7 linked regions of the Canis lupus familiaris genome follow. The protein of the gene in region 5 interacts with the protein of the main gene of each other region in a pairwise test. Links are inferred from orthologs where the notes say so. Each region holds a gene or a part of one and is shown on either strand. Other genes may lie near its edges.

Region 1 (4,172 bases), on a different chromosome or scaffold from region 5:
GGGGGCCCGGGCTCGGCCTGCACAGCCCACCGCTTCCCCTCCGTCCGCAGGAGGAAGCTCGCCGACCTCTGGGAGGAGCTGAAGAGCGAGAAGGAGAAGCGCCTGTCGCTGGAGGTGGGTGGGGTGGTGCCCCCAGGGGCGGCGGGCTGGCCCCCTCCCCCCCCCCCCGCCTGCCCTGACGCCCTCTCCCGACCAGGTGCGGATGCAGCGGGGGACTCAGGAGTCCCGGACGCGGGGCTCCATCCACGCGCAGACGCAGACGCACTGAGGGGGGGCCCGGGAGGGACTGCGGCGGGGCCTGGGGGCGAGTCGGGCTGCGGCCACCCACGTCCTGGCACACGACTCCGAGAAACGCAAGAAAGTAAACTGCGGTGTACGCGCCCGCCGCGCCTGCCTGGTCCGTGCGGGGGCGGGGCCGGGGCCGGGGGGCGGGGCCAGAGGGGGCGGGGCCGGGAAATGGTCGGAGGAGGGGGCGGGGCCCAGGGGCCTGGAGGGAGGGCGGGGGCGGGGCCTCCGCATTCCTGGCGGTCTCTCCCGGGCACATCTGGCCGACATGTGGCTCCCATTACCGTTCCCAGGGCCCGCGCGCCGCTATTTTTACCCACCGGATGGCGGGGGCGGGCGGGGGGCGTCTCCCTCCGACGTCTGCCGGGGCCGGGAGCCCGGAGCCCGGAGCCGGGAGCCCGGAATCCAGCTGTGCGCCCGAGGAGGTGGGCGGGCCTGCCCTGCCGCCCCGACCCCTCCCGGGGGCGCCCGCCTAGCCCGGGCTGTCGTGCCTTAGCGTCGAGGTCAGGGCCCCGGGCCTGGGGCGCGCGCGCGTGACCCCGGAGCTCCGCGGGGAGCGGGCGGGGTGCGCCGGGCCTCGCGGGTGAGGAATGCGTGTGGGGAAGGCCTGCGAGTGACAGCTTGCTCTGCTTTCAGTGTGAGCGGGAGGAGGCCTGTGTGCGGAGGGGCTGGTGGGTCGGGACGCCGGGGGGTCAGCCTGGTACACGAGTCAGGGGGCATCTCCATCCGGGGCCCCTGCGTGGCAGGAGCCTGGGGCGCACGGGGGGCAGAAGCAACAGAGGGACACTGAGTCATTGGAAATGCAGTTTTCATTGGTCCCTTCATCTCTTAACCGATCCCAGGAGGGGGGCTGGGGTCCCCGCGTCCGGGCCTTCCCCGCCGGTTTTCTGGCAGGACTGGGGAGCCCGGAAGGTGGGGGTCCAGACCCCGGAGCCCTGGGGTAGGGGGGAGGCGGTGGGGCGGGGCCGTCCCAGTGGCCTGGGGCCGCTGTGAGTTGGCGCGCAGGGTGCAGTACGCAGAGCTCCTCGCAGCGGGAGCGGGCGGGTCAGTAATAGTGCATGCGCCCCAGGGTGCCAGTGGCCGTGGGGCCGGGCCCCAGGGTGCCGGAGCCCAGCAGGTCGGGCTGCCCGGTGCGCCAAATCTCCCGCAGGATCCGTTCGCGCTCCTCCAGGCGCTGCGCCCGCTCCAGCTCCTCCGCCGACGTGAAGACGTTGACGCTCAGGGGCCCGTCGGGCTCGGCGCTGAGCTCCGGGCCGGGCAGCGTGTCGTCGGGGCCCAGCCGCGTCACCGTGTCCTCGTCGTCGTCGTCGTCGTCGTCGTCGGGCTCCAGGGCGCTGCTGCGGGGGTCCCGGCGCGGAGCGGGGCCGCGGGGCCGCGCGCGGGGCGCACAGGAGATGCTGATGACCAGCAGGCACAGGGTGAGCAGCAGCCCGAAGCAGACTCCCAGCACGAAGTAGAGGCCGAAGCTCTCGGGGTTAGCTGCGGGCGGAGGGCGCGCGTCGGGGGGCGCCCCGGCGCCTGGGGGGTAGTCCCTTCGCCCAGGAGCCCGGGTTCTAAGGTGGGGGGGGCGGGGGGAGGGCGGGACTCCTTACCTGCAAGACCCAGGTAGCCGCTAGCGGGGGGGGCGGGAGGGGGAGAGGGGAGGAGGGGCTGGGGGCGGGGGGAGGGCGGGACTCCTTACCTGCAAGACCCAGGTAGCCGCCAGCGGGGGGGGGGGGGGGGGGGGATGGGGGCGAGGGGGAGGGTGGGACTCCTTACCTGCAAGACCCCAGGTAGCCGCCAGCGGGGGGGGGGGGATGGGGGCGGGGAGGGCGGGGGAGGAGGGGAGGGAGGGGCCCGGGCCCCGGGCCCGCCCTCACCGCGGATGTGCGCGTAGGCCGCCAGGCTGTTGCTGAGCAACTCCATGTCCCTCCGTGGGGCGTCCATGCCGCTCTGGGGGCGGAGGGGCAGCCCCCCGTCAGCCTGCGGGGTCGCAAGGTCGGACCCCCCCCAGCCCACGGCTGACCGCGACCCCGCTGCCTCCGGAGCAGCTGACCCCGCTGCGCGCGCTCCACCCTGCAGACGGCGGCTCCCTAACGTCGTTACGGCCCCGGGCCCGGCCTGGGGGGCCTCTTCCCCGGCGCAGACGCCCCTCCAAGCCGCGGGAGGCTCCGCCGCGCGCCCGGGAAGCCGCCGCGCCCCCCGCCCCGCCGGGACCCACCGCCCGCAGGCCCCGCGCTCGCTCACCGTCGGCGCCCCGCTTCCCCGCTGCCGGCCCCGGCGCGTCCGGCGGCCGCATACACCCGGGCCCCGCCGCGCGCGCCCCGTCCGGTCCCCGCCGCCCCCTGCCCCGCTCGGCTCCCAGGCCGCGGCAGCGCGGGCCGGACGCGGGCCCAGGACCAGCCGCGGAAAGTTCCTCGGAGGAAAGGGGCGGGGCGGGGCGGGGCGGGGCGGCGGGCGGGAGGGGGAGGCGCGGAGGGAGGGGGCCGGGGAGGAAGGGGAGCGGCGGGGGGGCTCGGCTCTCCCACAGGAAACCGCGGGGAGGCGGGCGCAGCGACCCGCCCCCAAGCTCCTAATAACAAAATAATGATAATAATAATAATGCGGATGAAGTTCCGCTTCGGTGCCGGGCAGCGTGAGTGCGGGTGCGCGTGCGGGTGAGGGTGCGGGTGTGGGTGAGGGTGCGGGTGAGGGTGCGCGTGCGGGTGAGGGTGCGGGTGCGGGTGCGGGTGTGCGTGCGGGTGAGGGTGCGGGTGAGGGTGCGGGTGAGGGTGCGGGTGTGGGTGAGGGTGCGCGTGAGGGTGCGGGTGCCGGTGAGGGTGCGCGTGCGAGTGAGGGTGCGGGTGCGCATGCGGGGGAGGGTGCGGGTGCCGGTGAGGGTGCGCGTGTGGGTGCGGGTGCGAGTGCGTGCCCTTTGAATATTCTTTCCTTTAACTCTAACACCCCTGCGACGCGGGCACTGTTGTTGCCACTTGGCAGAGAAGTAAACTGAGTCAGGGAGAGGAGGAGGGGCCCAAGGTGGGCGACACGCTTGACCAAAGGGTCAAGATTTGAACCCACTGCCCTCTGCCCCTAGAGCCCGTCTACACCTTGCTTTCCTCCCAGGGGCGCCTCCCTTGGACCCTCAATTCACAAGGGAGGGAACTCCCCTCCCGGGGCATCCAGCTGGCAGAGCTCTGTCACACGGGGTGACTGAATGTTAGAGCCCTGCAGGCCTCCCCCCCCAGCTGCCCCCAGCTTCTGCGGCCCCTGTGCACCCCACACCGCCCTGCACCCGCACCCCAGCCACGGCAGACGTGCACTTTGCTCCAGGCTAAACGTGCCCAGCCCTTGCATCCACCTCCCCCCAGGCTCAGGGCTCACGTGTGCAGTGTGTCACAGGGTCCACGCGTCTTCCTGCCCGACTCTCAGCCCCCACCCCTCCCGGGCCCCCCTTCCTGCGGGGGCCCTGGGTGAGGGGGAGGCCCTCTTGGCGGGAGCCTCAGAGAGGAGGAGGGAAGGAAGGGGGAGAGGAAATTGCAGGCATAGCTGAAGGCGCGGCCTGAGGCCTGTGGGCCCGTGACCCCCCCTGTGTCCACGCCGGAGACCCCCACTCCCAGGGCTGAGCCTGGGTTCAAGCAGAGGGCAGATCTGGAAGGAGAAAGGCAGACTGGCCCGGGGACAAGCAGGGACTCCCAGTGTCTTGGGGATTGTTGGGTCTGTTTTGTGCATGCGTGTGCAGGCGTCCCTGCCCCTCCGGGTACTCGTGTGTCCACTTCCATGTCGCATGGGCCGCAGCAGGGGTGTGGCGGGTGCACCAGGACAAGCCGCTGCGCATCGGGTGCTACCCCAGGGCCTGGCCTGGGCCCCCGGGCATGGGCGCCCCTGGTCCGAGCGGGCCGAGCGACAACCCTGCAGGGGGAAGGGCC
Region 2 (4,590 bases), on a different chromosome or scaffold from region 5:
TGTGGAGTCTGCATTAGCGCCCTAGGCTGCTGTCACAAATCACACATCGAAGAGCCCTGTCCCCAGCCACCTCTGGTCCCAGCCTCTGCCCCTGCGGGTCCCTCGGCCCGGGATGCCCTCCTCCTCCTGTCTCTACGGGGCCAGCTCCCACTCCCCCTCCACCCTCCTCCGTTGCCTCCTCCAGGAAGGCTTCCCTGGAGCACTCCCCCATCACCCTGCCTGTACGCTGGTGCCTACTCACAATGCCCTGCGTGTGTCCCCATCAATGCAGATGCCACCACCCACTTCTACAGGGCACCCTTTGGCTAGACACCTGGCCTCTTCTAACCCTGAGTGGCCAGGGGAGCCCAGGCCCCGGCAAGTGTGTGCTGAGTGGGCAAATAAGTGAACGGCTGGCTGCCCTAAGGCCCCAGAGAAGATGGGGACTGAGCCTGGGCCATCAGAGGCCAGCTGGACGGCTTGGGGTAGGGACGGGGTCGGGAGCATCCTCAGAGCCCAGACTCCTCAAGACTGAAGATCTTTGAGGCCTGAAGCCTGCACTTGTCGTTGCGGGCCCTTGTCGTTGGCGGAATCCCCGAGGCCTGGGGCGCCGGACCCCCTCCTCCCTACTCCTTCACCTCCTCCCCGGGCCTCATCCCCCACCGGCTGGGAAGGCTTCGGTCACACCCCGGACCCAAGGACCACACCCGGAGGCACCGTTCGTGCAGAAGCTTTATTAATCGGTAGATTCCAGCCTGAGGTCCAGACTCGGCTCCTCTCGGCCCCCTTGGCTCACAGGGAGGCATACACCTCTGTGATGTTGGTTGGAGGATAGCCCCAGTTAAAGCAGAGGCCCGAGATGCCTAAGAGCTTGTGCTGGCCACAGATGCCCGTGAGCACCTGCCCCTCCTCATCGGGGTAGGCCATGAAGTTGAAGTCACTTTCCTTGCCAAATAAGCCGTAGCGACCCACATGTGTGTATATGACCAGGGAGTGCATGTACAACTTGTAGGAGCCAGAGATCATAGTGATGTACTCTCCCGGCTGCAGGATGAATTCCTGGGTGTTCCCCCCGGAGGTGCCATACACTGTGCTCCAGGACGACCCGCATCTCACCTGGATACTGGGAGACGGGGGAAGAGTTGCCATACTGCCTCCCCGCTCCCCAGGTGCTCTGTCCCCTTGCACGGACAACAACCCTGTCATACAGGTGGACCTCCCCAAGCACGTGGATTTGGGGTCCTGGCACAGGGGTGCTGCTCTCAGACTCCTGCTCTGATGCTTTCGAGCCCTGTGATCTTGGGCTCGTCACCCAGCCTCTCTGGGCCTGTTTCCTTACCTGAAGAGTGGGAGTGCGTGGGGGGGGGGCATCAATGACATCATTCATAAGGGGAGCTTGGCAAGTCGCCACAACCCTCAGGCTCCAGCTGCTGTCGCTGCTCACGGTGGGGAACTGTCCCCAGGCCCAACGTTGGAGCTTCTGAGCCCCAGTTATGGACTAGACCCGGTCACAGGCCCTAGAGGCAGGTGACTCCCACACTGGCCTAGCTGTGCTCATCAGGGCTTCCGTCCACCTGGCCCTGCCGGCGCTCTGTCCCCGGTGGTGCTGGCCGCTCCCCGCAGGACCCTGTGAGTGCAGAGCACAGATCCCCCGCCAGGCCCAGAGCCTGGCTCTTGGCCTCTGCACACTTCTGGCGACTTGCGTCCTGCCAGTGGTCTTTTCTGACCATCACTTTCCTCTGACCCTCCCCTGGACAGACCGTCCCCTGGGTTCCCCATCAGGCAGGCATCTCAGACTGACAGGCTGTTTGGGGTTCAAATGAGAAAGGAGGGAGAAGCATCATCTACCCCTCCTTTCACATCAGCCCAGGAAGCCGCTCAGGACTTGCAGACAGAACCAGAGGGGCCGGTGTGCAGGGCGGGAGGAGCCTGAGGACAGGAACGAAGGGACAGGCCGTGGCTCCAGAACTCCCAGGGTCCTCCGGAGCCCAGCGAAGGTACAGGGAAAGGGGGTAAAGCCCCTCCCCCGGCTCCCAAGGTCCTGCTCCTCTCACCTCTTCATCAGGCCAAAGGTACTCGTGGCCACCCGGATCCCGGTGATTTCGCAGTCACTAGAGGTGCTGAAGTATTTGCCTTGCCCAATCCCGTACATCTCTAGGTGATGAGGGGATCGGGTGGGAGGAAGGGACGCTCAGGCGGAGGTACGGTGCGTCCCTGACCGGAACTGGGCTCGGCCCCCCCACCAGGCAGCCCGCGGGCTCCCGAGATTGGAGTCGGTCTGCGCGAGGGCTCTGCCCAGGGCCCGGTGGGCGGAGGGTGGCCGCGCAGGGGGACGGGCTGGGGGGGGTGGGGCATACCCAGCAGACTTACGCCCTGCCCAGCAGCCGGTGCTCCCCAGGAGGGCGAGGGTCAGCCACAGCAGCATGGCCTCTGGATGGGGAGTCCCAAGGCTCCTGGAGGGAAGAGGCAGGCCACCGAGTCCGACAGGGACCCCGTCCCACCTCACCGGGCCTGTGGGGGAAGGGGCGCTGCCCTACCTGGCCAGGAGAGTCTTGTCGCCCAGTCCTGGTGGCGCAGAGTCTTGTGCCTGGTGCTCTCCGCCGGCTCTTTATACCCATCACGGCCCTGTGGGCCCCCATCCAGAAGGAAGGAGTGAGGGCCGCGGGGGGAACAGGAAGGAACGGGCAGTGGGAGCTCTTCCTGGGGGAGTCCCAAGCCATCCTGGGGGAGGCTCCCGGACACGCTGTGCTTATTGTCTTGGCCCCATGGCCTACACAAACAAAACGGGACGGTGACAACCATTGTCCTGCCGCCTCCGGGCCTCTCCACTCCGCACCTGGACCAGAGCTGCACCCAGATGTGACGGGGTTGCTGGGGGCCCTCCCCAGCTTGGCCAGAAGGTCTCCACCCCATGGGGGGCTCCAGGCCACGTGCCCCCTAGAAGCTCCTGCCTTGTTCAGAACCTGGCCCAGGACCTCATTCGGGCCTGTGCAGAGCTCAGTGTCCCGTGGGCTTCCAGCCGCTGAGGCTGAGGTCCCCGCCGACCCTCGGGGAGCGCCGTGTGTGCCTGGGGCCAGCTGGAAGAGACCCCCCAGGCGCTGGCCCTCCATGGTGTGTCATTTAGAAGACGGTGATGATCTTTGCTCTGTGCGTGGGCCAGGCGTTGCTGGGATGGGCTGGCCTCCACGGGCTTTGGGGTGACCGCATAGCCGAGGTGCCTGGCACGGGCACAGAGGATCGGGGACAGGACGATTCCCTAGGCCAGTGCTGAGGGCTCCTGGGGTCAGGCCTCGGGGTCAGACTCACTGGGGAGGTGACAGAGTACTTTTCGAAGGCTGCGGGTCTCCGGTCCCTGCCGGTGCTACTGCTGAAGCCAGACTGGGGCCAAATCTTGGCTTCCCTGCCTACGAGGTGTGTGCCTTCCGGGGGGCTCCTGTCCCCCGAGTGCTGCGACTGGGTCATCAGTTGTACACAGGCGGCCGCAGAGCCTCGTCGCGGACGTTAGGAGAATCCGGTGATCCTTCTCCGTGCAAGGGCCCGAACACCAGACCCTCACGAGAGCCGCTGGCGTGCAGGTCTTGGCCGTGTCCTTCAGAATTGCAAAAGATCAGAAACGACACACTTGTCCTTTGGTGACCAGTCGCATAAGTGCCAGTGGTGACCAGTCACATAAGTGCCAGTGGCTGGCTCTCCATACTGGTTGCACTGGGACGGCAGTGTCTGGGGCCTGGGCATGGGGGGAGGCCCTGTCCCGCTGGAGCCTCCACCCCTACATGAGGCGCCCAGGCCCGGGGACACACTCTCCTCTCCCGCCCCCCCCCCAGGCCAAATCGAGCCCCCCTACCCCGCCTGTTGCAGCACAGCCCGTGAGCTAAGAACACTCCTTACATTTTGTCAATGGTTAGAAACGACGCAAGAGAAGCGCAGCACTTAGCGACGTGAAAGTTCTATGGAATTTCAATGCTGTTGCCCGTGGGTAGTGCTGCGGGCACACAGACCGGCCCTCTCGCGTGCATACCCTCTGGGGTGGCCTTCACCCCCCAGGGCTGTGCAGTCGGTGACCCAGACACCCAACCACGTGTATCCTCTGGCCCTTGCCTGGGGGCTCCCCGGCCCCCACCCTGCAGGGGAGGCAGCCCGCAGCAGTGGACTCGACCCTTCCCTCAGGGCCCGCGCTGTCTCCCTAGGGGCCCTGGGGCCCAGGCCCCCCCAAGCCCGGCCTCCCAGGGCTCCTCGCCCCCTCCCACAGGCCCTGGGGCCCACGGAGGCCGCTGTGGAGGAAGAGCCAGAGCTGCACAAAGGGGCTCTGTTCTGGCCCCGCTCCCCGCCAGCGCAGGTGCCCGCTCTCCAGTGCCAGGCCGGCCGGGCTCGGCGCCCAGAGGAGGCTCTGTATGACCCGGAACCCCGGGGGGCAGTCCCTGGGGGGTGGAGGCAGAGTGGGTGCTCCTGGATGACGGGGGTGCTGGGGGGTGCCCGGACGTGCCCCAGAGCGCACACAACATGCACTCTCAGAGCGCAGGAGCGTGGTTACAGCAGATGCACATGTACACGTGCGCTCACACAGCTACAGCAAACACGCACCGGCTTGCACGCGACCTGCACACACCTGTG
Region 3 (4,728 bases), on a different chromosome or scaffold from region 5:
CTCAATGGTCAATGAAAATGGGCACAGTCTGAAAAAGTGGCTCTCTGCTCATCAATCAGGGACTTTCCTGAAAATTGCTTGCTACTGATTAATGACAGTGAACACAGATTGCCTCCATGAGAAGAGGAAAGCAAGGAACCAACAAGACAGGTGCATTTTTGAGAATAGTTTGTAAGAGAGATCTAATGGCCCAGGCTGGGAGACATCTGAGTGATCCTTTTGGCTCTATCATAGATTTATTCTGTGGTCTTCAGAGAGCCCACTCTAGGGTTTAGGATGCCTCCACACATGCTGTTAGAAAATGGAGTCTGGGGCAGCCCAGGTGCCTCAGCGGTTTAGTGCCGCTTTCAACCCAGGGCCTGATCCTGGAGACCCAGAATCAAGTCCCACATCAGGCTCCCTGCATGGAGCCTGATCTCCCCCTGCCTGTGTCTCTGCCTCTCTCTCTCTCTCTCTCTCTCTCTCTCTCTCTCTCTCTGTCTCTCATGAATAAATAACATCTTTAAAAAAGAAAAAAGAAAAAAAGAAAATGGAGGCGGGATGGGAAAAGAAGAGGAGGGATTCTCACGTTTCAGGAGGACAGATAAGGAAGACAAACCTATGAAGCCATCTGTGGACGATCCAGGCTCTCTCTCCTCCACCTGTTTTCCCACTTTTGCCCCTCTTTCCTTTTTTTTTTTTTAATTTTTATTTATTTATGATAGTCATACAGAGAGAGAGGGGGGGGGTGGCAGAGACACAGGCAGAGGGAGAAGCAGGCTCCATGCACCGGGAGCCCGACGTGGGACTCGATCCCGGGTCTCCAGGATCGCGCCCTGGGCCAAAGGCAGGCGCCAAACCGCTACGCCACCCAGGGTTCCCCCCTCTTTCTTCATTTCGGTATCTGTTAACCCCTGCCTCTCTCCCTCACACCCAAGACAATGAACTAGAAAAATCAGAGATGCTGAAACTCAGAACCCTCTATTTTGCTTTCATCAAAAGCTTGGTGGGAAAAGGAAGTGGAACTGATGGCTAAAGTGAGTGCTTTAAAGTAGTCATAAATTGCAGTGACTGTGCTGCTTGCTCCTTTTGTCCTCCAAGGTCATGGATAATTGAGTGTTGGCTTGGTGTACCTCCAAAGAGCTAAAGCCTTTGAAATGAAGTACTCTATGAAATGTGAGAAAATCAGAAATGGCAGCTCTCTATGTAGTACCCCTGTATACATCTAAAGATCTGTAAGACATATCTAGGCTGTGCCTAGGTCTCTCAGCCTTTGACTAGACCTGCTATTGACACTCCCTCTACTATAGCCTTTCCTGTCAAGTGGGCCAGAGTGACACAGTGAAATGACAATGGAGTTTGGCATAAGCTGGACTTTGGTTTAAGTCTTTGTGCTACCCTTGCTGTTTGTTTGACTTGATTCATTATTTTGTCTCACTGAACCTGTTTCCTCATCTGGCAAATATATATAATAATGCCTACACTGGAGGATATTGTAAGGATTAAATAAAATGGAGTAGGTAAAATGCTGAAATAATTTTTCTCTTTTCCATTAATATTCCCTCTAAAGGAAACTACTATATCATGCTCCACACCTTCTAACTTTCCAAGGAATCTGGGACTGCAATTAGAGAAAAGAATATGTTGGATAGAAGGCATAAGACAAAAGAGAAAGAACAGGAAGAAAATCATGGAGTGCTCATGTGACCACAAAAGGGACATTAGTTTTGGAAATGTAGGACTCAAAGGTAGAGATGCAGAAGGTGAAGTGGAAAAAAGAGATACCACTAAGATTTAGCCTTGGGGAATCAGTAAGAACCAGTAGCTAATGGGTGTGATCTGTTTTTTGGATACTTCCCCTGATCTGATATCTTCTTCCTGATTTTGAGGTGGGAGAGCTCATGGGGTTCTGCTCATTTCCACCAACCTCTTACTGGGGAAGGAGAAAAGCCATTTCCTAGTTGGATTGTGGCCCCGCCCTAAAAATTGTTGTCTGGATGCTCAAACCTTCTGGATTGCCTGAAGGATGTGCTCTTTTAGGGGATTTGAAGGAACCTGGGGCTCTCATCCAAGCTGAGGTGAAAAGGAGGGAGAAACAGGGTAACTCCTTTATTTTTGAACCAGGAAAACATAGCCCAGGAAGTTTGCAACCCTAGCACATTTTGGAGGAAGCCCCAAAGAGGAAAAAACTTGCTTTTTCAGCTTTTCTCTCGCGTCTTCCTCCATATTTTCCACCGGGCTCTCTGCTCCTGGGAGCACAGCCGGGATCACAGCCCAGAGGCCCGGGTCGGGGACCAGCCGCTCCGCGGTGACGTAATGCCTTGCAGGGTACACAAAGCGGCCTCCCTCCGGCCCGGCCTCTCCGCCCCTCCCCCCGGCCTGGTCCGCGCCCTCGCCAGCACCGGCGCGGTGAGTCCCCCTTTCGGAAAGGCCAGGCCAGGGAAACAGGGAACAAAGGCCCGGGAAGAGGGGCCTGGGCGCTGCCAGGAGGCCCAGAATAGACATCACGTCATCCCTAGCTCGGCAGCGCCAAGCGCCATTTGGTAGCATCGGACGGACCCACCATTACGGTGCAGAACCGCACTTGGGGGCCCTGGGCGGCCGCCAGCCCCGCGCCCCGCGCCCCGCGCCCCGCCCGCCCGCTGGGCAGCAGCTCCTGGCGCCCCCGCAGCCTCGGCTCCCCGCAGCGGGCCGCTGGCCCCCGGCCCCCCAGCCCCCCAGATGCCATCTTGGCGCCCATCCCCCGCCGCTGCCCTCCCCCGCAGCCCGAGGAATGGGAGGGGGAGCAGGGGGCACCGCCCTGAGCGCCCCGAGGGGGAGAGGTCCTCATCCTCCTCCCTTCCTCCCCTGCAGAGCGCCGACTCGGGCCACACAGGTTTCCGCGCGACCCGCGACCCCCGGCGACCCCCGGGGACCCCCGGATTGGCTGGCCCCTGCACCCGCAGCTCAAGTTCTGGCGCCGCTCGCCGTCGCAGGCCCAATCCTAGCGGGTCCGACCCTGAAGGCCCTGGGGTGGGCTTCGCTCCCTCCCGGCACTGGGCGCCCCTGGCTGTGCGGCGGTGCCCACGGCCCCAGGCTTTAGTTGTCCGCACTCTACTTACCAAAGCTAGGTCGGATATTGGTGATCTCAGCCATGTCGTAATCAGAGGCTATTGCTATGTATGCTTTTTCAGGGATCAGACGAGTCTGGGGGCGCCCGGTCAGCACCGAGGCCGCCGCTGTAGAGGGCCAGCTCAGGGGAGGGGGAAGGTGTCTGGCGGACACCTCCTGCGACGGTCGGGCCCCTGACTGCCAGCTGCGGCCGCCTCCTAAGATGCTCCGGGGATGCTCTGAGCGGAAGGATGCAGGTGCAGCCAGACTGGTCCTGATGCGGGTAGGCCCCGCCCTCTTCCGAGCGGCCCTCGGCAGGAGACTCCGCCTCCGCCCGAAGAGTTCCGGGAGCCAGGCCCCGCCCCGGAAGCTCCCGGCGAGGGGACCGCCGAGATTTCTGGAGAGGGAGACCCAGCCCACCGGCGGACCGCGGATGGGTGGGGTGGTCTGAGAGCTGTAGGTGTCTTTCCCTATGCAGTTCTATAGATCCTGTGGTTCCGGTTCCCGGGGCTTAATACAGCAGCAGAATGTTCAGGGTGACGGAACCTAGTATTTTGGAAAAAGAAAATTGTATACTGTCTGCATTTCAGTATCATTTGCCATTATTGTGCATTTCTGAAACTACTAAATGTTATTATGGAAACTTTCTTAAACTTCAGAAGCTCTGATTAAAGACTAAACCAGGTGATGGTTGCACAACTCTGGAAACTTACTGGGGATACTTGTAGAACAATTCTGCAATCCATCTACGGATGGATTTTGTGGTGTAAATGAAAGCTGTTTTTTAAAAAAGACTAATGAGGTGTGTCAGAGTTAACCCGTGTTGGGTATTCCTCTTACAAAAACTTCCAAGGGCTTATAGGGGGTCAGAGAAGGAGACACAAGGGCAGAGCCAGCAAGGAAACCGACAGAACTGTATATCCTGCAGGTTGAAGAGCAGGATACAGAGGAAACTCCAAGCTTCTAGAGACTTCCTTGGCATTGGGAGAGGCAGGGTGATTCAGGTTGTAGACTCCTGGCAGTCGTCTGCACGATTACCGCAATTTCCCTCTTCTCTTTGGCTGTGGACGCTTTCATCCTGTTTACAGACAGGATCAGGTCAAATTATTTAAACGCATGAGTAGCTGTTGGTGGTGTACCTGCAAACGGAGATGGTTGGGTGTATTGTTTCAGCTTCGACATTCTGTCCTTCCAGAAAAGTGGAGAGAACGTGGGTCTAGGAATCATGCATTCATTCAAACCCCGTGTGTTGGATTAATAAACAGCACTCCATCCCGGGCGCCTTTCCAAGCGCTGGACCTGGCATGTCAGGAGCTGGAGTTAGGGCACCTGCGGTCCCTCAACAGGTGTGTGTATGCAATCACCTGCCCAGCCAAGCCGGAGTTAGGACACCTGAGGTCCCTCGACAACTGTGTGCGTGGAACCACCTACCCAGCCGAGCCAGAGTTAGGACACCTGAGGTCCTTGGACAGCTGTGTGTGTTTAAGAACCTGACCAGCTGAGCCGTGTTAGGGCACCTGAGGTCCCTCCACAGCTGCATGTGTGCAATCACCTACCCCGCCGAGCCAGGAGTGTGTTCCGTACGCGGGGGAGGGTGTAATAGCCACTATCCCCCGGGGCTACTGCGAGGATCAGGTCACCTAAGATAACTTACTTGAA
Region 4 (4,084 bases), on a different chromosome or scaffold from region 5:
TCGAGTCCCACGTCGAGCTCCCAGTGCATGGAACCTGCTTCTCCCTCTGCCTCTCTCTCTGTGACTATCAAATAAATAATTAAAAAAAAAAAAAAAAAAGGCTAGGCATGAGTTGCTTCTATAATGTTAATACTTCTTTCTAAAATTACGTGTACATAATTGTTGTCTTTGTCTGATGGGGAAGAAATGTGACTCTGGCACTGCCCACAATGTGAATCCATCTACTGGTAGCAGGGAGTGATTTCCCCCACCCCTAGCCACCACCACCAAAAGACAAAGAAAAAAAAAAAAAAAACTGTCACAGTCTTAGAAGTGGGAGCTAGAGTCCTAAGAATTCTTTCTAAAGCAACTTTATAGCCTTGCTATATCTGTGAAACCACTCTGTTGCCTCCCCTGAACGTTCATAGAAACCCACGATGGAAATCTACCCTCTTGTAATGCCTGTTTTTGAGGATGGTATTGGCAGAGTAGAAGCTGTTGAGGAGGTGGTGGCTTCCTAGGGAAGGAAGCCCAGTTCTGAGTGAGCTAAACTAAGCAAGGACATTAGTGCTTCTGGGCAAAGTTGGGGAGGAACAAGGCTGGAGTAACAGGCAAGGTCCTTGACACAGGCCAAGTTTCAGAAGTCAGGTGGATTCTGGGAAAGAACAAAGGAAAATAGCCCAGGCCAGTCACAGATAGCAGGTGAGTTAAGGTCAAGAGGGCCTTTTGAGGAAGAGGGACTATCAAGGGTAGAGGCGATCTAGGGAGTGGAACATCTGGGGTTTTGGCGACAAGCCCCAGCCAGGCCAGCCCTTAGCCTTAGGACTCCAGTTTGGGTAAAGTCTCAGGAGCTATCCTTGAAAAAAAGAGTTGGTACAAGCCCTAATCTTATCTCCTCTTGATAAATTAGGAAGAAAAGCCCAGGACTCTTAGACCTCTCTCCTCTCCCTCCCACTCTTCCCTAGAATGACATCCGACAGCCAGATAGGAGATTCGCTCGCTCGTTCACAGCCAGAGTCAGGAGGCAGATTCCAGCTGCACACACCCACACACACGAGCCTTAGCTAGGTTCTTTTATTTTGTCTTTATTGAGCCTTGCAGATGGAGTTAGTGGTGAAGAGGTTCCCATACCCGTCGCCGCAATGCAGGGCCTGGAGAAGGCTGGATCTCAGCAACTGCTGCAGTCACTGGGGTAGACGTCCCAGTGCAGGCCAATGGCATTGATGAGGGAGCTAGCACGGCCGCTGATGAATCGGAGCACAGTGTTGGGGTACAAGGGGACGGCGTTGAAGCTCGTGCCTGTGTCTTTCCCAAAAGGCAGGTAGCGGCCCTTGTCCGTCACGAAGACCAGCTTCCTCAGGTAGTACTTGTACTTGCCAGACACCTGGATCACTGACTCCCCGGGGTGCAGGAAGATCTCTTCCAGATCTCCCTGGGTGCCACCCACGTAGTCGCTCCATACCTTGCCATAGCGCACCTGGAGGCTAGGGGCAGGGTGAGGAAGGAAGGAAGACTGACATTGGGCTGATCATAATTCAGGACCTCCCCGCCTCCCTGCTGAGACTTGCAGACTGGTGATGGGGCAACAGGTCTGCTGCCAACTCCACAGTGTGTGAGGGGTGAGTGAGCCCTTGAGATCATACAGGGAACTTCAACTCGCTTTGCCCACAAATGCAGAGGCTCAGAAAGGAAAAATTGCCTAGCCAGAGTCAAGCAGACAGCGTTGGAGCTTGATTTTGGAATCTAGATTCCCACTGTGCTGCCCACCCCACCCCACCCCCAATACAAAGGGAGCAGGGGGATCTTTCTGGAAAGTTCTCGTTAGGGAAGATACTTTGTTGTTCCAGGGTGTAGTCCAGGATTAGAAGGCTATACATTGTCTGGAGAGAGTCAGCAAAGATGGAAGATGCCAGAGGGGGCTTACACCTCAGGTGGGGCCCGACTAGCCAGCTTCCAAGTGCCTGAGCAGCTATGGCCTATGATTTGCCTGAGGTCATGTGTGCTGGGGGGCTGTAGGGTTATTAGCAGAGCTGACCTCAGATCCCTGTCCTCTAACAACTTTCACGTATCATGTTATCCCTGGGATTTGTTGACTGGAACAGCCATGACCCAAAGTGACTGAGAACTTTCCAGTTTAGCAAGATCAGAGCAGATCCCCAAACCACAGAAACACAAAGAATCTTACCCTACAATGTAGTATCTGTTGACCCGGACACGGAGGGCGGTGATAGGGCCTTCCAGCTGGTTGCCAGAATGGGAGAATCGCTCCCCTCCACCACCTCCATACTCTCCATTGTATGAGGAGGACCTAGCCTGAACTGGAGGGGACAGTAGGAGTTGAAGGGAGAAATCTCAAAAGCTCAGTTTCCCCACCACCACCTCCCACAGCTCAGTGCCCACCACTCCGAGCCAGCCTCTGAAAGCCTTGGCCACCAGCAATGCAGGAGGCTGCCTTCCCATGACACTATGCTGGGTTCCTGGCTTCTCACTTACTGGCATTGGCCGAGGCTGATGCACAGAGTAGGGCCAGAAGAGCAATGGTCAACATTCTGGGGCTGGAGTGGAAATAAGGAGAAAGTCAAGGTTTAGCTTTTTTTCTTTGGCTTTCATTTACTCAGGTTTCACTGACCTCCAGCTGAGTGTCAGCCTTCTTTGTCTTCAACTCAGACTTCACTGACCCAGTCTTGGGCTTAGAAAGGATTGTCCCTAATCTCTAGTCCTGCTCTTGGCCGACTGTCTTCTGTCCTTAACCCCTCTGTCGTCCCTGGTCCAGAGGGAGCCAACTCCCTTCTTCCATCCCAGATCAGAAGATCAATCCTAACCCTCTATCTGGACCAAGCTGTGTTAAGTCCTGATCCCTCCTGCCACAAAGCAGGAAAAGCATTTTCAAAGAAGTAGAGACCATCTCCAAATCATAGAGATGGCTGAGTTTACCAAACCAGGAGTCTGAGCAAAACCTAACTGAAATCTGCCTGTAAGGGATGGGCCTGGCGTGGGGGGACATCTGGGCAGAGTTCAAACTTCTAGCTTCCTGCTGATCTCAGATCAGAAGGAAAGGAGCATTTTAGAGGTGCATCTCTGTGACACCTGGGGAGTAGAGGTGGTGATAGAGGAGACTGCCACCACCAGCATCAGAGCAGTTCAGGCAGAGGTGGATAGAGATTGCAGAAGGTGTTTGGACCAGCTCCAGATATTAGATTCCAGATGCCTGCTCTATTTGTCATCATTCTTTCTCCACTAACACAAATCTGGCCACATTGATTCCCCCGAGCATCCCAGACATCCCCAGTCCTTCCACTGAGACCCAGATATCTTTGCACCTCACTCAGATACAGAAGCCCCAGTTAGCTGACCCGCAGGTTTCTCTTGCCACCCAATCCAAGTAGGTGCCTGTCTGGCTCAGCCTGAATTCCCCTTAATTTGAACCCGGCCATCCCTGTCACCTCTTAGCTCAGGCCTCTGTCACCCCTCACCTGGCAGTTTCAGGTGCAAAGTAACCCCCCTGAAACTTTCAGATCTTTTATACCAGGTCCGAGCCCTCCTCCTGCTCTTTATCGTGTGAACCTCACCTCCTGAGCAAATATGATCAACCTCTGAGGATCAGTTGTCAAGCAGGGTCCGGAATATCTTATCCGGCCTCTCCCCCCAAGGGTGACAGATCACAGGGTGGGGTACTCGGGGCCAAGGCCATATCTCAGGACGGACAGGCAGGATAAACTTGAGAAAAGGTCACCAACCGAAAGGACCATCAGCTTTGGGTGGGCTAAGTTACTAATCACTTCTGGGTGTGGTCTAAGATTCCCTCCCCTATTTGGGTGTTCTGCAGGTGCTCTCACCTGTAATATGTCATCTTTCAAGAAAAACATTGTCCTTTCAGGGCATTTGAAATATAGATTCTCTTGGAGAGGGATTACACTCCCAATGTTCCATACTTAGGAGTGCCTACTATATTCCAATTTTTTCCCTCTCCTTTTTACTTTATATGAAAAAAAAATCCACATTGATAGAAAAATTGAAAGAATTGTACAAGTACCCATATACCCACCATGTCAATTCTACCATGGTTAATATTTTGCTGTGTTTGCTTTTTTTTTCTTCCCCCATC
Region 5 (3,211 bases):
ACCAGGGCTCTTCTCATCCCCACAGACGGGAGGCGTCGGCAGCTTTGACATCGCCGGCCTGCTCAACAACCCCAGCTTCATGAGCATGGTAACCTGCGCTCCCATCTCCCGCGGGCTCTGGGCCCACCACCCGGGGCTGTGTCTGCCTGTGAGGGCCGGGGCTGCCGGCCTGGGCGGGGTTGGACACTGGGCCCGGCCGTTCCTTAGGGTTGTGACCGGGGCATCTGAGGGGCTGAGCAGCATCCCCAACCCCACCCTCTCGACGCCAGGAGCTCCCCCCGTGTGACCACCACCTAGGTCCCCAGACACTGCCATGCCCCGGGGGCAGCACTGAGCACGAAGGACAGCTGGATCCTGCCTCTCCCCACCCAATAACCCGGGAAACCGCATCCGTCTCTCCAGCTCGGTCTCCTCCTCATGCTGTGGAGACCCTGACGGCAGCACACCCCACCTGCTTCCCAGGGTTCGGGTGGACGCCACCACCTTCTGACGCCAGAGACTTAAGGCCAGAAGCACTTGTTCTGTGCGGGGCGCCCAGCTGTGAGCCTCGGGCTGGTCGCTGCACACCCATGGCCGTTGATGGGGGTCTTGCTCACCGCAGGCCACACTGCTGGCTCACGGGGCCTCGGTCCAGGGTCTCCAAGCATCAGGACGAGAGAAATCCCCAGCCTTCTGGCCGCAGAAATACCCTCAGGGCAGCAGGGAGCGTCTTGTCTCCTAAGTCGGTAGAGGCCGCACTTGGTCCGCAGGCAGGATGGCTGGCCGGGCATGGCAAGGGGCCAGTGCGGTCCGGCAGGGCTCACACCTCACCCGCGTCTGGGGTTGGCAGACCAGCGGGGTTTGTAGTTGCGTTGGCACCCAGGTGTGCGTCCGTGGTGACGCCAGTTGGGCGGGCGGGGCAGAGGCTGGCCCAGCAAGCAGAGAACCTCGATGCTGGTGCCTAAAAGTTAGCCGGCCCCCGTGAGCCACGCCAGGCAGGCCCCTCTTCATCCCGCTTGGCCGCTTCCTGAAACGTCATGGGGCGGGGGGGTGCGTGACGTTCAAGCACAAGCGTCTGTCGCAGCGGTGTTTACCGAGGGAGCAAAACGAGGCTCACCATGCAGATGTGTTCAGTGGCTGGGAAAACGGATCAGAATACGTCTACACGGCAGAGCCTAAGCAGCCAGTAGATGCTGAGGTGCTCGGGGGTCTCTTAAAAGACCCAAGCAGGATAAAGTGGTAAAACGTGGCAGATCAGAGGTCGAGGAAGGGCGTCAGGAAGGCCCAGGGCCCGGGCGCCGAGCAGGAGGGGCGTGTGTGGTCAGGAGACGGTGCGGGCACTTCCCTGTGTGATTTGTGTTCTTTTCTTTAGGCGTCAAACCTAATGAACAATCCGCAGGTTCAGCAGCTGTAAGTGACAACCATGCTCCTTCGGGTCTGGGGTTAGATTTCTTATCGTGACAAGACGCACCTGCCGTAAAGCCTGCCCGTTTTAACCATTTCAGGGTTTACAGTGCGGTGGTGTTAAGTACATTCACAGTGTTGTGCAGTCATCACCGCCATCTAATTCCAGAACATTCCATCACCCCAAAAGAGTCCTTGTCCCCATCAGCCATCACCCCTCTCAGCCCCCGGCCCCCATGAAACCCCTCCCCGTCCTAGATGTGTCACACACGTGGACTCACACACAGTGGGGCGTCCTGTGTCTGGTCCCTCCCGAGCATCGTGAGCTCGGTTCTGGGTCCATGTCCAGCAGCGGAATCTCTGGGTTGTGGTGATTGTGTTTAACTTAGTGAACACCTGCCCGACTCCGGTCAAGTCCTAAAACACAGCTTCTCATCCACTCACTGCCGACATTGGGGCAGATCACTCTGGGGGGGCGTCTGGGGCGCTGTGGGGGCAGGCCAGCACCCCAGATGTGACCAGTGTCCCCTGGCTGAAGACCTCTGTCTTTAGGCCAGAAACCAAGGCTATTCTGAGTGAGCTGGTGGCATCACAGCAGCCACCGTCGGGGCGGGGGCGGGCGGCCGTGGCTCTGGGCCCCAGGCGGGCTGCCGTGAAAGGGCAGGGACGGCGGGAACGGGAGGGCTGGGCTGTCCGCCACATCGCGGGCTCTCCTTGCAGCATGTCCGGGATGATTTCGGGCGGCCACAACCCCCTGGGGACTCCCGGCACCAGCCCCTCACAGAACGACCTGGCCAGTCTCATCCAGGCGTGAGTAGACCCCTTACTGGCCCTCGGGGGTGGCAGCGAGGGCCTGCCCAGGACCGTGAGAACGCGGGTGCCGTGTGCCCATGCTCTCCGCTGGACCCCGTGGCCTCCGGTGGGGGGCGGGTGCCGGGGGAGTGGCCAGGAGGGCGCCTGGGCCTTCCGGTTGAGCCGGGCACGCCTCTCCCGCAGCGGCCAGCAGTTCGCCCAGCAGATGCAGCAGCAGAACCCAGAGTTGATAGAACAGCTCCGGAGTCAGATCCGAAGTCGGACCCCCAGTGCCAGCAACGACGACCAGCAGGAATGACCGCCCTCGTGAGTGCCCTGTGCGTCCTGAGCGCCGATTTGACGGCCCTGCGACCTCAAGGCCGGGCGGGTCTCTGTGGTGGGGGGCGCCCGGGATCATCACGGCCCTCCCCGGCTGTTTCTGTGGCACCCTGTTCCTTCCCGGTTGTGTGTGGGTGGGCTCGTCACTGCGCTGGGTTTTGCGTAGCTGACGGCTGATATGTCACTGCTTCCCGGCAGGGCCGCGGCCTGAGCGCCAACAGGCAGTGTTTGTGCAGAAAGCCCCCGACGGCCACAGCGATGGCCAGCAGGGTCCCTGGGAGGGAGGCCAGCAGGCCCACCCGGGTTCCCCTGGGCGGGGGTTTGCTGTAAGCCTCTGTTACTGCAGGATTGCAGGGAAACAGACTGGGGGTCCCGGGTGTCCCGGTGCCTGTGCTGGCTTGGGCCCCCTGGGGGTCCCAGGAGACGTGCCTCCTGGCACAGTGGCTTTCCCGCCCAGGAGACATGGGCATCGTTGTCCTCCCGTTTCTCCTTTGACTGTGATTTTCTACTAAAAATTTAAAGGGCAGGGCGCCTGCCTGGCTCAGTCCGCAGAGGCTGTGACTCCTGATCTCATGAGTCATGAGTTCAAGTTCCGTGTGGGGTGTACAGATTACTAAAAAAATAAACTAAAAAAAAAAAAATAGTTTAAGTTTTAAAAGCCAAAAACACGGAGCAGCAGGAAAAACACCTTCGAGCT
Region 6 (4,790 bases), on a different chromosome or scaffold from region 5:
TTCATCAAGTTAGCTGGCACCTGGATTGTAAAATGTGCGATTAGAGCCCACAAATCAATAATATCAATTCATTTGGAATGCATCCAAAATAGATAAACTCACCCCACCACCAAATGTCCACAAAACTGGAATATAGTTATACTAATAAGATTGCAAGAAATTATGTAATTCATATTTTTATTAAGAACAGCAATCAGTAAATAGTAGCTGACACATTAGACAGAACTAATAATAAATAGGACCATTTATCTTTAATCTCACTTCGCACACAATTCTTACAATGGAAGTGTGAGGTAAATGAATAGTTGCAACCCTCATTTCTCACAACTGAGAAAAGTAGATGAAAATTAAGTAATCTCAAAACAATATTAAATATTTAAAATGGAATCAGAGCTATGCTACCTCTAATTTCTGTTCTGATATTCAAAGTCACCTGTAATTTTTTTATTTAAATACCTTTTAAATACCCAGTAAAGTTTTTTTTAATATGGAAAAATGTTTTTAATTTTATTTTATTTATTAAGTAAAACCTTTATATATCGTGGGAGAAAAACTGGAAAAAAAATGATTCATAGAGCAATCTATTCCTATAGTGATATGAAAACTACCTTATTGATGTACACAGTTTAAAGATCATACATCTAACCTCATTCTAATAACCTATTCCACTTAAAGATATTACAAATGATGACTACTTGCTTCTCCAAAACTTTCAGGAATAGTTAACACACACAGTGCTTCAAATATGCATATAATATGTGCCAAGTGTTGTTAGTTTTGCACATACTAATTCATTCAAACTTCTCACAATCCTCATGAGCTAGATAATAGCGTGTGTATTTGACAGATGAGGAAACAAATATAGGTAGGCTAAGTGACTTGCCCAAGGTCAAACAGCTAATGGTGGCAGTGTAGGACTCAAAGCCACACTCTGGCCCCAGAAGCAGCCTTCTCAAGCAGTAACACTGCTCCCAGTCAGAAACTACTTTACTTCTGCAGTATATACAGTAAATTACCATTCTTCTATTTTGTATAGCAAATTATCTGATTCACCACCTCCAAACAATTCAAACAGCACAACAAAAATTCATGTCCTTGAAGGGTCATCGTAAATCCAACTTGAACATGGGCATGAACATGGAATTTAGTGTTAGTAATGTCATTTGTCTAAATGACAAGCTGCTATATACTTGAAATCACAATACCAAGCTTGAGTAGTGAAGGATGGAGGGGGCCTCTCTGAACTCTTCATACACCTGAAGGAGAGATAGCCTCGCACCTGTTAAACAAGTATATCTGTGAGGCAAATTTGGTTGCATATATGACCTTAATCTGCTATTTAACCTGAAAGAAACAAAAGTCTATTCCATTTTATTTAAGACTAATTTAATATTAATATTTTTTTCTTCTAGCTCAGAAATTATAGACTGTTTCAAAGAACTAGTCATTCCTCCCCACTTTTTTGTAGGACCCCTAGATGCCCTTCCACCATGCTAAATGCCAACCCCATAAATGAAAAAGCTAGTTAATGATATCGTACACAAGTAATGTTTTAACTATAGTTTGTGTGTTTGCTTCTTTGTTTTTTAACCACAAAAACCAGAAGGGGAAGTGTGGGAGCAAGTGGGTTGGGCAGTGGCAAAAAAACCTCATGACACATTTCTCCGCCTCCCTGTGTTGGTGGAGAATGTCTGGAGCAGCATTTAAATTCTGGGAGGTCCTGGTTGTCAGCAGCAAGAGAAGGAGAGAAGTGCAGCATCGTCCAAGACTGGGCTCTCTTCTCAGCCAGCCACAGAGCAAGGTAAGCCCGCAGTTCACTACCCCGTGTATTCAGCTTCATTTCAGGGGCAAGGGCAAGTCGTGAGGAAAGGAATTGAACTGTAAAGCTGTTAAGCAGACTTGAATTGTTCTAGGCTTTTAAATGAGCATGGGGATACGTTACAGATTTCCTGGAGGAAAGGTAACTGGTTATTTTAAAAGCCAGTCATTTATAGGACTCAAAAATACTTTGAGTCCTCAAAAGAACTGAAATTATTTCTTCCAATCAGAAGGAAAAAAAATGAAAAATTCTATGCCCCTTTCAAATAACTATATACATTAATTTAAATGGGTAGATGGCTGTGGAAGCATTTAAAGGGATAAAAATCTTTAGTGGTAATGTAAGCTAATAATAATGCTATGTTTTAATGATTTAATGTATCCAACCTATTTTCAAGAGAAAAGAAAAACCTTCTGAATAATTTACTTCTGTATTTAGCTGTTAGATTTTTCACCAAAATAACTGTATGACACTATTTAGACTTATTATCATGAATAGAAAAGCTGTTGACTATTTTCTATGTTTTGGTTTCTGTTTCAAATTTCTAGAATGCCTTTCTTAAATAACTGAGTTTTGAGACAGCCTCATTTTATCTAAGTGGTACCTTCTTAATAATTTCAGTTATAAATCACACTTAAAATGCACGCTGGAAAGATGGAGAAAGCAAGTTTCTTTCTATAGTTCTATTTTCTTTCTTCCCCTTTGTGTTTTTCTTCTCTGAGAAATAAAGATTCCAACACTAGCTTATTATTTTAGTTAAATTACTAATGATCTGTTTTTAGGTTGAGATAGCTGGAGCTATCAGGGAGTAATGATATAATTCCTGGAATTCTAAATTTTAAAGTTGAATATAGACTTGGGAGATTCCGCTCTCCCTTGCCTAATAGTGAGAGATAAAGAGGTGGCATTACAAATATTAACTCAAAAGAACATAGTGTTTGAAACAAGAGTTTTCTCCAAAAGGCAGAAAGTATTCTACAGAAAATATATTTTATTAGTAATGATTTTGTGATGTGGTAGCATAAAGAAGTATGACTGTTTTACCCTACAAAGAAACCGAATATTCCTTATAAAATATTTTGCAGGAAAACTCACCATGAGGATTGCAGTGATTTGCTTTTGCCTCTTAGGCATTGCCTACGCCATTCCGGTGAGTACAGCTGCATCTTAAAGGAAATTTCTCAAAATAAATGAATTGTGTGCTCCCCTGTGCTAGGAACACATTCACATTGTTCTTTGTTCATTTTTTCTATTTCAAAGATTAAGCACGCTGATTCTGGGAGCTCTGAGGAAAAGCAGGTAAGCATCTTTTCGGTTTATCATGTAATTAAATTATATGCAGCTGTACAAGAGGTACTACAAACATATTTGTTGCCATTTTACTTATCTTCATAGTCTTGCTGTTGATTGATAAGTATTTACTGACTGCTGCTTTCAATCTAGGCCTGCTAAGTACACTTACAGATGGTCCCCAACTTATAGTGCTTCCATTTACAGTTTTTCAACTTTACGATGGTAGGAAAGCCATATGCTAGTAGAAATCATACTTCAAATTTTGAATTTTGAACTTTTCCGGGCCTGGTGATGTATGGTACAATATTCTCTTGTAATACTGGGCAGTGACAGTGAGTTGCAGCATCCAGCCAAGCCACGGGATCACAAGAGTAAACACCAATATGCTTCCAACTATTCTGTATGCATACAACCATTCCATTTTTCACTTTCAGTACAGTATTCAATAAATTAAATGAGATATTCGATGATTTGTTATAAAATAGGCTTTGTGTTAGATGCTTTTGCCCAACACAAACTAATGTATACATTCTGAGCATGTTTAAGGTAGGCTAAGCTGTGCTATGATGCCCAGTAGGTTAGGTGTACTAAATGCATTTTTGACCCACCATATTTTCAACTTGCAATGGGTTTATTAGGACATAACCCCATTGGAAATTGAGGAAGATCTGTGTAGTTTTTAGTAAATATATGCTCTTAACACCAAACTAGTTCTTTTATATAATAAAATAATGCTCTAGGCCATTGTCATTTATATAAAATGAATTCTAGGAAGTCAAGTGAATTTTTCTTTCCATGAGTCAACATACTGTACTAGACATAGAAAATTCCATCCATGCTTTTTTAAGTTTATTTTTTTTAATATTTTATTTATTTATTCATGAGAGGCACAGAGAGAGAGAGAGGCAGAGACACAGGCAGAGACACAGGCAGAGGGAGAAACAGGCTCCATGCAGGGAGCCTGACATGGGACTCGATCCCGGGTCTCCAAGATCACACCCTGGGCCAAAGGCAGGCACTAAACCACTGAGCCACCCAGGGATCCTCCGCTTTTTTAAGTTTAAAATTTGTCTCACATACTGGATAGTTTGTATGGCCACAATATTCATAATATCTACTAAGATATTTGCTAAGAAACCCATTAAAAAAGAAAGGTTTTTATGCTGTTTGGATCTATTATGCTTGTCAGCTGACTTTAGATAACAATTTTCTAACCGAGCATAAGACCAAATAAAACCCTTTATTATAACTCTTTGACCAGCACCATAGATGTACATGCTCCTCCAAAATAGGTAAAATTGTGCCAGCCAAACAACAAATGGGCATTGTCCTGAGGAGCTTAGGCTAAAAGATACACAGAGTTCAATCCCAGATGAACAGAATAAAGGCCTGTGTAGTGTTCTCTGGGGTCACTGAAAGTAGATTGCTTAATGAAGACATTAGGAGATGTTTTGCTGCAAGTGTCTAGGTGTGCAAGTAGGTGTGTATAGGCATGTCTGTCTTCTAATTGATTTGAGAAAACAAATACGGAAGCACATTAATAAGCCAGAAAAATTAACATTTCCAAAAAAAATAGAGGTCACACTATCTGAGGCAAGAATTGATGCCTTTTACATAGAATAAATATGGCCCATAAAGCTATGACAGTATAAATTATTAAATTATATTTAGGAGAGAA
Region 7 (4,230 bases), on a different chromosome or scaffold from region 5:
GGGTGCTGTGTCATTTCTAAGTCCTATAAGTAAAACAGCTTTATTTTTTCAAAGTTTCCTGGTAGTTGTGGCTGGAGGGCATCTTGTGATCGTAAGAACTCAGGGGCAGGTCCCATAACACTGGTTATTGATAAGCTGAAACTGGCACAAAACAGTGACATGGTCCCAGTTTTGTAAAATAAATAAATAGTTGCATGCACAAAGTCCAGAAGATTAATAATGTGTCCACACTGAATTATTATTATCTGAGATACTCTGAGGCTTTCACTTCATACATTTCTGGACCATTTGAATTTTTAAAACAAGCAGATAATACTTTTATAATCACAATAACAATGATCCTATTTTCAAGGTTAGTTCCTAAAGCTAACTGACATACTTTAAGTTAGATAATCACCCCTAGCATGCTACACTACCAAACTTATCTGAAAAGAAAAGCTGACATCCAGTTCTTCTCATGTAGATGTCCCAAAATATAAGGCAGGAGATGGAGGGAATGTGAGGACTAAAAACCCTGACTTCCTCAATTCTCTCAAAGGATGAAGGACCCAACCACCCGGCAGAGGCCACCTGCTGGCCTCCATCCCAGAGGCTGGAGGAGGACTGTCCTTTAACCAGGGACAAAAGGAAGAAAAGCAGCTAAGAACTAAGGATCCAAGAGCCCAGCATGCAGTAGGAGGAGAAGAAAACAGATGAGAAAGTGGGAGCCAGTAACAGGCAAATTTCCCTCATCCAAAGGGACCACGTCTACAGATGGAAAGAGCTCACCAAGTCTCAATAAAATTAGTGAAAATAAGACACATTCCAGACATATCTGGAGGAAACTGTAAACTTTTTTTTGTAGTGCAAAATACAGGCTAGACGACTATGTGATCATATATAGGTTACCACAGAAAATCCTGCTACCCGAGCATCCCCAACTCAGCCAAAGCACCAAGCAGCCCACCGACCACAGCAAGACACAGCAGGTGTACAAGTGCCCCCCAGCAACAACCCCCCCCCTCCACGTTGTCAAAGAATATGCCAGAAGAGCCAAAGTGCAGACTTCTGGGCCAGGCAGGAAATAACACAGGATCTATCTGGCAGTATCGTATACAAAGTTCCACGTAGCAGTTAGGGATTGGGCTAGGAATTCCCTAGGAATTCTTAGATCAAGTGTTAACTCTCTCTCCTGAGTGGCATTTGTAATTCACCATAATAGTCAGAAAAGGCAACACCTAAATTTGAAAGCATAATACAATTTCCAAATTAATATAAGGGAAAACCTAGCAAAAATAATAAAAAAATAGAAACACAAAGTAAAATAAAGAGAAAACGTAACAGGTCTTAGAGAGTACATGAGGTAGACTCTAAACATGAACAGGCTGATTTGCAGTATTAAAAAAGCAATTACTGGGATCCCTGGGTGGCTCAGCACTTTAGCACCTGCCTTTGGCCTGGGGTGTGATCCCGGGATCCTGGGATCAAGTCCTGCCATCAGGCTCCCTGCATGGAGCCTGCTTCTCCCTCTGCCTGTGTCTCTGCCTCTCTCTCTCTCTCCCCTCTCTGTGCCTCTCGTGAATAAATAAATAAAATCTTAAAAAAAAATAAAAAACCAATTACTGTCACATGAGGTTAGGAAACAAATCAAGCTATGTATTATATTTATAAGACACCTAACCATGTGATAAACTGAAAATATACAGCCAGGCAAAGACAGCACATGATATGAACAGAGAGTAAGCAGTAGCTGAAATGGTAACCAAGGTTGATTAAGTAAAAGGCAAAGATATCATTTTATAAACAAGGACAAATTATAAAACTGTGTCAAACTGCACAGCAGCAAAATATACAGAATTAGAAAACAAGCCTTGAAAAAAGGCTAGATCCGTCAAATTTCATGAATGACTTCGAAGAACATCTTCAAATTGACAAAGTAAACCAAACACACCGTTTTTCTTCTGATTACAAAGTAACAGGTTTAGGGGCCTCTGGGTGGCTCAGTCAGTGAAGCATCTGCTGCCTTCAGCTCAGGTCATGGTCCTTGAGTCCTGGGACTGAGTTCTGCATCAGACTCCCTACTCAGTGCAGAGCTGGCTTGTCCCTCTTCCCCTGTTGCTCCCCCCGCTTGTCCGCAAGTGCTCACTCTCTCTCTCAAATAAAATCTTAAAAAAAAAAAAAAAAAAAAAAAAAAATTCCACAAAGTAATACATATTTAAAGTATGTAGCCTGGTCAGTAAAGCCTAAAACAAGAAAGAGTCCCATCCCAGCCCCCACCGCAGGTGCAATCTCTACACTAACAGCTCACTTGGGACCCTTACTGTTTTCTCCTATTCAGTCACCAAGTTCATCACTGACAAATACCGGTGTCAGAACATCCGACTACACGGAGAAATGATTACTGGGGTCTAACTAGACAAACAGCCAGCTGGTAAGCAGGCAGACAGTGAGACGACAGAGACGGCCTACACACCCACATTTTCCAAGTCACTTACTCTTGGCAGCCTCCGACTACGCCTATTCTTCCATCTTGGCCTTTGTGCTTCTTGGTAGTTAGAGGAGGTATAATGTTTCTCACCAGCTGCAAAGTATTTTCCATATCCTCTACTGAACGTGCTTTATGCAGTGAAAATGCTCTTTGTAAAACTGAAAAACAGGAAAATGAAATCATTTAGAAAAATATTAGCACACACGAAAAAGACTGAAAGAGAGCCTATTAACCAAAACACTTCCCAAAGTTGACTTAACGTGAACGCTATAGATTTTTATCCAATGGTTTCACTATTTTATTTCTCTAACCAAATGATGCTTAGAAATTACCACACACAAGCTATACATACCAAGCTTGTTTTTGAAATGTATTAGACATTCCAGAAGACTAATTAATCTTTCAGAAGATGTTTCTAATGCATTACTACTTAAAAAACCACACATATTCATTCCAGTTCAATCTTCCATCAAGTTTATCGGGTCTCTTCAGGTTGCTAAAAAGCAACCTCCCATTTGTTACCTTCCTTGATCATCTTCATACCCCCAACCTTCTAGTCACGTTTCTGACACTCAATTAATTACTAATTAAATAACCTAGAAATGGTATTCTAAATAGAGAACATAGCTTACACTGGGTTCAAAGTGGCATTTTATTTTTTTTTTTAAGATCTTTTTAAAATTTATTTATTAATTCATGAAAGACAGAGACAGAGAGAGTGAGAGAAAGAGAGGCAGAGACACAGGCAGAGAGAGAAGCAGGCCCCATGCTGGGAGCCCGATGTGGGACTCGATCTCGGGTCTCCAGGATCATGCCCTGGGCCAAAGGCAGGCACTAAACTGCTGAGGCACCCCAGGATCCCCAAAGTGGCATTTTAAAACAATAAAATGATTTTGTCTCTAAACAGCTAGATTTTAATTGTCTTTCTTGAAACTTCCTCATCATGTATTTTGCTGCCTTGATATTTAAACCCAGCTCATCTGTGAGAGAAACGCCATGTTCCGTAACATGTATATTCAACGTTTGAATAGACAATAAAGCACCTGTTTTCTCTAGAATTAAAGGGTCTTTGCAGATACATACAATACTCTCACACAAGGCACCAACATTTGTTTCCTTCCAGTCATCTCAGCAGCAGAGAAAAACCAGGCAGGTGTCACAGTTGGAATGAAGACCAAAGCTGCCCCAGCTCCATAAGGTAAACAGCTTTATCTTTAATTACACTCTTACAGTTTCACTATTTATTTCACTTTTTATTCACTTTTTATTTATACAAATTTATCCAAGTAGTTTTCTTTAATGAGTAGGTATAAATGCTTCCTTAGTTGACATGCCAGGTGCTGAGACCCCCACCCCCATGTGAGAATATTAACTACTCTCAACCTCAACACTCTGCACCTTCTCCCAAACCAACACAAGACTAAAACTCAAAACAGAATCACTGCAAACCTTTGGCCAAGAAAAGGCACAACTGGGTTTGCTCAGCGATGGCGACAGCGGGCGGATGCCTGTGCTTCCAAAGTCCGGTGACCTGTCTACAGTCCTGCCCCAGAGCCACCGAGCTACCAGAGACCTTGCTCTCCCTCCTCCTCCCTGGTGCCTGTCCACACTCCCAATTCCCAGACTGCACACGGTCTTCTCATGCCATCACTGGGCACTCACTGATGAGCTGCAGGAAGGGAATCAGAGTGGCTGCCATCAGATACGGTGACAAATCACTGACTGAAGAGCATCTCTGCAGTCATGGAAACGCAGGCTGTGCA

Evidence for each region.
Region 1: the proteins of SGTA (region 5) and EVA1B interact in binary tests that used the Homo sapiens proteins (3 or more experiments, as listed by UniProt). The two-hybrid records come from large-scale screens. The link is inferred for Canis lupus familiaris from reciprocal best matches to the Homo sapiens genes SGTA and EVA1B.
Region 2: the proteins of SGTA (region 5) and ZG16B interact in binary tests that used the Homo sapiens proteins (3 or more experiments, as listed by UniProt). The two-hybrid records come from large-scale screens. The link is inferred for Canis lupus familiaris from reciprocal best matches to the Homo sapiens genes SGTA and ZG16B.
Region 3: the proteins of SGTA (region 5) and SYT11 interact in binary tests that used the Homo sapiens proteins (3 or more experiments, as listed by UniProt). The two-hybrid records come from large-scale screens. The link is inferred for Canis lupus familiaris from reciprocal best matches to the Homo sapiens genes SGTA and SYT11.
Region 4: the proteins of SGTA (region 5) and ZG16 interact in binary tests that used the Homo sapiens proteins (3 or more experiments, as listed by UniProt). The two-hybrid records come from large-scale screens. The link is inferred for Canis lupus familiaris from reciprocal best matches to the Homo sapiens genes SGTA and ZG16.
Region 6: the proteins of SGTA (region 5) and SPP1 interact in binary tests that used the Homo sapiens proteins (3 or more experiments, as listed by UniProt). The link is inferred for Canis lupus familiaris from reciprocal best matches to the Homo sapiens genes SGTA and SPP1.
Region 7: the proteins of SGTA (region 5) and NAXD interact in binary tests that used the Homo sapiens proteins (3 or more experiments, as listed by UniProt). The two-hybrid records come from large-scale screens. The link is inferred for Canis lupus familiaris from reciprocal best matches to the Homo sapiens genes SGTA and NAXD.

The regions. Positions count from the first base shown.
Region 1 is NC_049236.1:6,009,304-6,013,475, reverse strand, and holds EVA1B (protein eva-1 homolog B), read right to left. Parts: upstream 2,574-4,172; 5' UTR 2,512-2,573; intron 2,218-2,511; 5' UTR 2,212-2,217; coding exon 2,145-2,211; intron 1,765-2,144; coding exon 1,331-1,764; 3' UTR 1,077-1,330; downstream 1-1,076. Other genes in the region: SH3D21 (SH3 domain-containing protein 21), read left to right, coding at 51-114, 197-268.
Region 2 is NC_049227.1:38,795,149-38,799,738, reverse strand, and holds ZG16B (zymogen granule protein 16 homolog B), read right to left. Parts: upstream 2,596-4,590; 5' UTR 2,517-2,595; intron 2,433-2,516; 5' UTR 2,405-2,432; coding exon 2,350-2,404; intron 2,134-2,349; coding exon 2,034-2,133; intron 1,103-2,033; coding exon 772-1,102; 3' UTR 694-771; downstream 1-693.
Region 3 is NC_049228.1:41,910,665-41,915,392, forward strand, and holds the start of SYT11 (synaptotagmin-11), read right to left. Parts: upstream 3,389-4,728; 5' UTR 3,115-3,388; coding exon 3,081-3,114; intron 2,389-3,080; exon of another isoform or gene 2,285-2,388; intron 1-2,284. UniProt on the Homo sapiens protein: Synaptotagmin family member involved in vesicular and membrane trafficking which does not bind Ca(2+). Inhibits clathrin-mediated and bulk endocytosis, functions to ensure precision in vesicle retrieval.
Region 4 is NC_049227.1:18,003,442-18,007,525, reverse strand, and holds ZG16 (zymogen granule membrane protein 16), read right to left. Parts: upstream 2,626-4,084; 5' UTR 2,528-2,625; coding exon 2,473-2,527; intron 2,298-2,472; coding exon 2,165-2,297; intron 1,464-2,164; coding exon 1,148-1,463; 3' UTR 1,039-1,147; downstream 1-1,038. UniProt on the Homo sapiens protein: May play a role in protein trafficking. May act as a linker molecule between the submembranous matrix on the luminal side of zymogen granule membrane (ZGM) and aggregated secretory proteins during granule formation in the TGN.
Region 5 is NC_049241.1:56,918,454-56,921,664, forward strand, and holds the end of SGTA (small glutamine-rich tetratricopeptide repeat-containing protein alpha), read left to right. Parts: intron 1-25; coding exon 26-88; intron 89-1,351; coding exon 1,352-1,389; intron 1,390-2,103; coding exon 2,104-2,193; intron 2,194-2,379; coding exon 2,380-2,494; downstream 2,495-3,211. UniProt on the Homo sapiens protein: Co-chaperone that binds misfolded and hydrophobic patches-containing client proteins in the cytosol. Mediates their targeting to the endoplasmic reticulum but also regulates their sorting to the proteasome when targeting fails.
Region 6 is NC_049253.1:28,635,470-28,640,259, reverse strand, and holds the start of SPP1 (osteopontin), read left to right. Parts: upstream 1-1,660; 5' UTR 1,661-1,801; intron 1,802-2,904; 5' UTR 2,905-2,915; coding exon 2,916-2,969; intron 2,970-3,079; coding exon 3,080-3,118; intron 3,119-4,790. UniProt on the Homo sapiens protein: Major non-collagenous bone protein that binds tightly to hydroxyapatite. Appears to form an integral part of the mineralized matrix. Probably important to cell-matrix interaction.
Region 7 is NC_049243.1:59,036,011-59,040,240, reverse strand, and holds part of NAXD (ATP-dependent (S)-NAD(P)H-hydrate dehydratase), read right to left. Parts: intron 3,666-4,230; exon of another isoform or gene 3,591-3,665; intron 2,626-3,590; coding exon 2,475-2,625; intron 1-2,474. UniProt on the Homo sapiens protein: Catalyzes the dehydration of the S-form of NAD(P)HX at the expense of ATP, which is converted to ADP.